2 linked regions of the Mus musculus genome follow. The protein of the gene in region 2 binds, or shares a complex with, the protein of the main gene of each other region. Links are inferred from orthologs where the notes say so. Each region holds a gene or a part of one and is shown on either strand. Other genes may lie near its edges.

Region 1 (4,546 bases), on a different chromosome or scaffold from region 2:
GTGCTGGGATTAAAGGCTTGTACCACCCTGGCTTGGCTCAAGGTTATTTCTAAGCAGATAATCTACAAGTACATCTTCTAACACTAACACAACTGGTTTGTCCATGATCAGTCCTAATCTCTGAAGCATCATTCATAAAGTAGATTGATGTAGCGGGCTGACTCATCTATTAAATTATGAATAACATCAAGAGACTAACTTTAACTATATCAAGATGAAACACACAAAGTATATAGAGCTATGCAAGGGAAATCTCATGTAGGATGTCCCATGTTACAGAGACATGCAGCATCACTTCAGCTTCACACCAGCTGAAATGAAGAGCAAGGAGCACAAAGCACCAATTTTTACATCAGTTCTGCAACTACAGTAGATCAGAGTTTGACATTTGAATTCATTATTGTTGTCCAAGCTTGCTATACTTCCTAGTCAGGTGACTTCAATGTCTTAGGAACATTACTTTGACACATAAAGTCTTTTAGGAAGCATTGAAGTGTCTGTTGGGAACAAGGTCACAAAACCAAGAGGAAAATGGAGCTGTCTCTTCCCACCAGTGAAAAGAGCAGCTAAGGGAAGATTTTGGGAAATGAGAAACCATGAAGAGGAAACGTGGGAACTCAAAGGAAGGAACAGACACAATCACCCGTGGGCTATGCTGCTGCTGAGAGCGACGTGCTGGACGTAATGTGAGAATTATCTTAACATTTCCTGGAGTTACGTCTCAAACACTCTGGTTTCTCTTCCCCGTGTCTGCTATCCACCTATGGTGCAAAAGTATCTATTTATGGGTAACACTGGAGACAAACATCATGTAGGCCTTTAGTTATTTCCCATAAATCTGAAATCCCTTCCCTGTCATTTTCCTCAAAGTTCATTTAGTGAGAACCATGGGAGGAAACAACCCTTACCAAAAAGGTCCCATGGAGAGACCATAAGGAAGTAACTATAATAAACCATGTTCACCCCTAAGATTACAGGGAAATGGGCAGCTAATAAGAATTGCTAAAGCCCAGCGGAAGCTAAAACTCTAAAGAAGAGGGATTTTCAGACAAAAGGAAAAACAACCTACACTGCAGAGAGCTACAGATAGCTACTGCCAGAGACTTCTAGAAAGAAGGAAGGAGGCAAGAAAAGCAAACTTCAATCTCTCTTTTCTCCTTGTTCTCTTCTCTTTTCCTAGCATTTCCTACCAAGTGAACCAACACAGAAGCTAGGACTGGGTGATGCAGTCTGTAGCCCTCGGCTTCTAGAACACAAAGCAACACAGCAGGAACACATCTAAGAGTCAGAGGAAAACAACCAGCATAGTGCAGCACCCCATCCTATAACTACCCACAAATTATCTATGTACGGGGTACTCGGAAGTTCAGCAGTATCACAGAAAGGCCTGGGCTAAAGGCAGAAGACCTGTGTTCACTTGTGATCACTGTGCCAGAGGGTTCTGCAATCTCCGTAAGCCAGAGAAACATCTAACCTGATCTTTATTGTTCTCTCTTCCTTCCTTCCTTCCTTCCTTCCTTCCTTCCTTCCTTCCTTCCTTCCTTCCTTCCTTCCTTCCTTCCTTCCTTCCTCCCTTCCTCCCTCCCTCCCTCCTTCCCTCCCTCCCTCCTTCCCTTCCTCTCTTTCTCGATCTCTTTCTTTCTTTCGACACTCAAACTGGCCTCAAACTCACCATTCCCCCCTAAGCCTTTAGAGTAGCTAGGACTGTAAGTTTGCATCACCATATCCATATCCAGTTGTTACATTCCTCCAATCAGCTGACACGTAGCAAGCTATCAATCAATACTTGTAGAACTAACACAGACACGATTTGAAAGAGTTCCTTCCTGGCATGAACATTAGTCAGCAGCTTGGGTGGCCTGATCGGAGTTCTGCAATTCTCCTGTGAACCTTTAAAAGCACTAACAGCCAGCTGGAAAGCAGTTGCTTAGGGTAGAGAAGGCTAGCACTTCCTGTCACACGGACTCTCCTGTGTTGGTGGCAACACAGGGCTCTTGATCCCTTAGAGACACAAGCTCCCTAAACTACGATGTTTATTCTAATTTTCACTTATTTTTACGTACTCTGGTGTTTTGCCTGCATGGATGTCTATGTGAAGATGTCAGATCCCCTGGAACTGGAATTACAGACAGTTGTGAGCTGCCCCGTGGGTTCCAGGAATTGAACTGGTGCACTCTGGAAGAACAGCCATTGCTCTTAACCGCTGAGACATCTCTCCAGCCCCAGAACTTTGTTTTAAATCCATGAATATTTCCTACACCTAGTAAACGAGCTCAGAGCCATGGCTTTATCTTTCATGCATCTTTTGTTACAGGATGTCCTTGTCCTGAGGAGGAAAAATTATCTATTGGCCTGAACGATGGACAGATTGGGTGGTTCAACTCCCCTGAAACTCTCCCTACACGCAGGTTCATTGTTAGAAAAGAAAAGAAGAGAAACAGAAGGGAAAGTAAGGGTATAGCAGAAAAGTGGGGACATAGCTCTCAGAGGAAAAGTGAGGCAGTCTTTCTGGGCAGGCTGGCATCCATGCACACACATCTGAACAGCAGGCCAGTTGGTCCATCACCCTTCAAGTCTTGGGTACAAAGGACCTGTGGGTTTGTCTCTGGCTTTTTTATAGTTTGCACCACAAGTTTAGAAAGCAAAGCCGTCGTTATGCTTCAGCATTGCATTTGGAAGCAAAGAGCACTCAGGATACTTACGAGTATGGCTTCGCTTCACCAAGAATACAGCGAGCAGAGGTAACAGGAGCATCATCAACCCGTGCTGAAGTCCTTTGCTTTTCCGATTTTTTTTTTTAACCTCAGACAGTGACAGACCCCTGATGAATCTTTTGAGAACTTGTACTCTACCGACTTACTTACACTTGGTAACTGAGCACTGTGGGGTGGGACAGGGGGAAGCATTCTCCAGTAAGAACTGGTAAATATATCTGGTGTCATTAGTTGCTAGGTAGAATAGAGACTTACAAAAATGAAAGCAATAAACATTAACCCCTTGTGGGTTTCAGACTCAGCTTGCTCCTGTCTTCTCTTCATCCAGTTCCCAACTGTAGCTCAATTACATGAAAGGTATAGGGAAGCAAAAATTAATGACATGGGTAATTTATTGCCTTTGGTTCTTTCTTGGAGTTTAGATTTTTAACCAAGGGACAAAGGAAATTGCACCCTGGGTTCTAAGATTTGGAACTCCCTGCTCAGTATGATTTTCCCATCCGTCTCAGATAGCATGTACCATTTAGAATGCCCTGTAATTTTTTTATTTATATCTGTCTTTCCTGTATTTTTTTTTTTTACCTAGAACAATAGACCCCAAACATCCCTGTTGAATCATGAAAAGAAAAGGCCTATGGGAGACTCTGAGGGGTCGCCACTCATCTTTCAAGGAAAGCAATCTCCAACCTATGGTCACATTGTTGTTAGAAGCACATGACAAGTTAGGAAACAGCAGCTGAGGCTGTTCAGGGAGCTGGGGAACAGGTCTAGACAGGAAAGAGGAAGTACAGGATAGAGAGAAGAATGGGGAAAAGGCAGGCTTTGGCTTGGGGTCAGGCACCATGCTTGATTTGACATGGTCAAATCTCTTTGACATGGGGCAGAATCACAGACTGCACCATGGCTGGACAGCTTCCCCTTTAAAAGAAATCTGTGTATTCCACAGGACTGTTGACTCAGTGAGGTTGTTTATTACGCAGGAAGAGGGGATAGGAGAATCAAACCCCTGGTTTCCTTCAGAGGTGAGTTGAGTGATGGCCCACTCTAAAAGCTCAGAACCCGTGAATACAACACACTTTATATGGCATAAGGGACTTTGCAGGTCCCGTTGATTTAAAGACGCAGAGATGGAGAGATGATCCTGGACCTGGCAGAACCAATCTAATCACGAGGGTCCCTATTTCAGGAAGGCAGAGGGTCAGAATCTGGGAAGGGTCTGTGACAGCAGATGCATTACTGAAGAGGGCATGAGCTAAGGAGTGCAGGAGGCCCCTGGACCTGGAATGAGAAGGTTACAGACCATACCCCAGAACCTCTAGAAAGAATGCATGTGTCAAAAGCTGGGTTTTTGTTTGTTTGTTTGTTTTGTTTTTGTTGTTGGTGGTGTTTTGTTTAGTCTTGTTTTGTTTTTTCACCATAAGACCTGTCTTCAGAACTGTGGCCTCCTAAATGATTGGAGAGAAAATATATATTGTTTGCAGCCACCTAATTTTTGCTTTCTATGAGAGTGGAAAACGTAGGCATGTCTTCCTTTCCCCACAAAAAGCTAAAAGAAATTATTTGATGGCCTCTTTTCAGATGCTTGCATCTCTTTTTTCCTTTCCTTCCTCTTTTGTTTTTTCCCTTGGCTATTCATCTAGCAAATATAGGTATCCATGTGCCCCTCACAGAGACCCCTGTTGCTGCTCCATGATGCTTGCACGCTGTGCCAATGTATTTGCTCCTTTGGGTTTTTGGATTTTTTTTTCCTGTTAATAGCTTGTTCCCCAGATTTCATGCTGTACTCTTAAAAAGGAAACATGAAAAGTGTGGGTAGCTTAAAATCGCTTTAT
Region 2 (2,893 bases):
TATGTGTGAGTACTACATGCATGTCTGGTGCTTTAGGAAGACAGAAGAGGGCGTTAGACTCCTGGAATTAGTTACAGATGGTTGTGAGCTACCATGTGGTTCTGGGAACCAAATCCAGGTTGTGTAGAAAATCTACCAGCGCTCCTATCCACGGGTTGCTATCTCTCTAGCCCCCCACTTTACTTTTGATAACAGACATCATAATTCATGGTCTTTATAGGCTCGGATGCACTGTATCCATAAGGTATTTCATAGCAGTGAGCACAAGGAAGCTCTCGTGCAGCTGAGGGAGTGTTGTATAACTCTCCCAAAACTCCTGGCAGCTGTCTGAAGGGTCAGAACCCTAATATCTGATGATGTAACGGTGCAGATGTAGCCCAGGGCCTCTGCTTCGTACCTTGAAACAACGAGTTGGGAGTTGGAGCAGCTAGGAATGTTTTGGAACCAACAGGGAGAGAGAGAAGAAAGTGCGCTGTAGTCACAGCATGTTTTTATTTTGACAGTGTTGGCATTCATGAGTGGTCACAGCCTCTCCCGCTTCCCTCACTTTGATCCTTTTTCTAAGAGAATTTTTTTACATCTGACTTTTTTTTCATTTACTCATTTTACATTCCAATATCAGTTCCCTCTCTCCTTCTAGTACCTCTGCATGAAGACCCACCCCCATTCCTCCTTCCCTTTCTCCTTTGAGAAGGAAAGCCCTTTTTAGGTAACCCTCCCCTGTGTGTCCCCCCACCCCCGATTTCTTTTTTTTTCTTTTTTATTAGATTTATTTATTTATTATATGTAAGTACACTGTAGCTGTCTTCAGACACTCCAGAAGAGGGAGTCAGATCTCGTTACAGATGGTTGTGAGCCACCATGTGGTTGCTGGGATTTGAACTCCAGATCTTCGGAAGAGCAGTCGGGTGCTCTTACCCACTGAGCCATCTCACCAGCCCCCACCCCCGATTTCTTAATACCTCACATAGATGGTGTTAGCTTCCACTTTGATAATTCTGCCATCCTCTTGTCCTGTCCCTTTTCATCAGCCCAGGGCTCTCTTCTCAATAGCACAGAAAGCAGAGACTTGTACAGTCCAGGGCCAGTACTGCACTCCCAATGTGCTGGCACCTTCAGGCCCAGCTCAGCCCCACACCTCACACGGGGTCCTTTAAGTAGCCAGGATGTGGAGTACTTTACTTTGTATTCGGAGGCAGGCAGGCGGCTACCCAGAATGCCTCATAGGCCTGGTGGACCTTGATGAAGAAGCTGAGAGAAAAACGGAACAAGATTGTTTTCAATAGGGATAATTCCAAAAGCAGATGTTGGGGGTATGGTAGAAACATCTGGAACTCAGCACACTGGACTTCATCCCTGGTTTGGGTGGGCAGATACCTGAGAGTAGGTTGATCTACAAACTCACCTTGCTGTCTGTGAAGTCCCAGAAACAACAACAGCGCAGAAAGGAAGATGATGCTGGCAAAGATGACTCCCAAGGTTCCTCTCTGCTCTGTGGGTGAGAATGAACACAAGACCACATGCTGAGCCCTCACCCTCCAGTACCCCTCCCCTTAGGAGGGGAGCTCTGGCCTGGGTGCTGTGAATCCTCACGGAAGGACGGGAGCCTGCCCACGCAGCAGCACTGCACTTGTTCAAGACTCTCAAGTTTGTGTGTTGCTGTTCTGCCTCTTACTCCATCGGGGCTTTGTTATTCTGAGACAGGGCCTCATGATGTCCAAGCTGGCTTTGAACTTAGGAGTCCTGCCACAGCCTTCTAGTGCTGTGTTTATAGGCACACCCCACTAGACCCTATTCTATCTCAGGACATTTGAAAATGTTTTACAGAAGAGAATGAGGCTATCTCAGTGACTACCAGCAAATAGCTGGGGAATGATGTGAGCCAAAACAAAAGGCAAGCTTTGGGGAAGCTCATAGTCTAGCGAGCAACCAAATAGGTCTGGAGCTCTTGGATATTTCATTGTGAGGTGCACATCCTTTCCTGCCTGAAACTGCAGCATTCTGTGGCCTTTGGGATGAAGTGTGTGTAGATATAGGGTGTAAACACGTAAGGGCTTGCAGCTTGCCTTTTGGTTATAGTGTCTCCTTTATTGTATATTGGTAGAGAACCTGGGGCAAACTGCTCAGTGTCTGCAAATGCCAGCTTACTCATCTGTAAGATGAATTCTGGACATGGCGATGGTGTCTGTAGTCCCAGCTATTTGGGAGGCTGAGTAGGAGGGCTGCTTGGCAGAGGAGTTTGAGGCCAGCCTGCTCAGGAAGACCGGTTTCCAAAAATAAATGGGAGGTGTAATATGTGAGATCACCCTCAGAAGCTCTTGAGTATATTGGGGGTGGAGAGTTGGCTAAGAAGTCAAGAGTTCTTGTTGCTCTTGCAAAGGACCTGGGTTCCAGTCTTAGCAGCCACATAGTGGCTGACAAGCATCTGTACCTCCAGTGCTAGGGGATCTGATGCCCTCTTCAGGTCTCCATGGGCATTGCTTGCCCATGGTGCACTACAGCAGGCAAACCACGCAAACACATAAAATATTAAAGTTAGTGTAGAAGCTGACTTTCCAATGCTTGGTCATATGGGTGTGCAGATGTAATCGTCTTAAGTATCATTGCCTCGTGCCCTTTTTTGCACACACCCTCAGGCCCCTAGGTTTTCTGTAGACTCTTGTGTCGTTTGGTTTTCATATGGACTGTGCTTCCAGTCTTAAGGGCTTCCTGCTGAACTTGGGCTGGGCTCAAAGGTCTGTTTTGGGTCTTTTTCCCTGTCTGCCTCAATTTGTCTCTCTAGCTCCTATGGGAAGGAGCAGCACTCCTTTACCTCTGATACCCAGCCCAAGCTTACTCATCTCATTATTTGGAGGCTGGGGATTCATAGTGGTAGAGGATGCCACTCTGGGAA

Evidence for each region.
Region 1: the proteins of Tapbpl (region 2) and Mr1 are in contact, whole or in part, in an NMR structure (PDB 7RNO), measured with the Homo sapiens proteins. The link is inferred for Mus musculus from reciprocal best matches to the Homo sapiens genes TAPBPL and MR1. Residues at the interface, in NP_060479.3 of Homo sapiens: His47, Arg48, Gly49, Ala50, Ala52, Ser53, Ser54, Leu129, Met131, Thr132, Glu133, Thr135, Arg228, Gln230, Lys232, Gly233, Arg234, Gly235, Thr280, Ile282, Gln293, Ile295, Gln297, Arg307, Leu308, Ser309, Ile320, Cys321, Asp322, Leu355; in NP_001372090.1 of Homo sapiens: Arg101, Arg104, His105, Asn107, Thr129, Gly130, Phe131, Leu132, Gln133, Ile143, Phe144, Asn145, Asp147, Thr148, Leu152, Ala153, Val154, His159, Thr160, Lys162, Gln163, Ala164, Ala167, Asn168, Gln169, His170, Thr213, Phe214, Pro215, Asp248.

Annotation. Positions count from the first base shown.
Region 1 is NC_000067.6:155,143,930-155,148,475, forward strand, and holds the start of Mr1 (major histocompatibility complex class I-related gene protein isoform 1 precursor), read right to left. Parts: upstream 2,886-4,546; 5' UTR 2,758-2,885; coding exon 2,703-2,757; intron 1-2,702. UniProt on the Homo sapiens protein: Antigen-presenting molecule specialized in displaying microbial pyrimidine-based metabolites to alpha-beta T cell receptors (TCR) on innate-type mucosal-associated invariant T (MAIT) cells.
Region 2 is NC_000072.6:125,223,459-125,226,351, forward strand, and holds the end of Tapbpl (tapasin-related protein precursor), read right to left. Parts: intron 1,493-2,893; coding exon 1,406-1,492; intron 1,252-1,405; coding exon 1,208-1,251; 3' UTR 747-1,207; downstream 1-746. UniProt on the Homo sapiens protein: Component of the antigen processing and presentation pathway, which binds to MHC class I coupled with beta2-microglobulin/B2M. Association between TAPBPR and MHC class I occurs in the absence of a functional peptide-loading complex (PLC).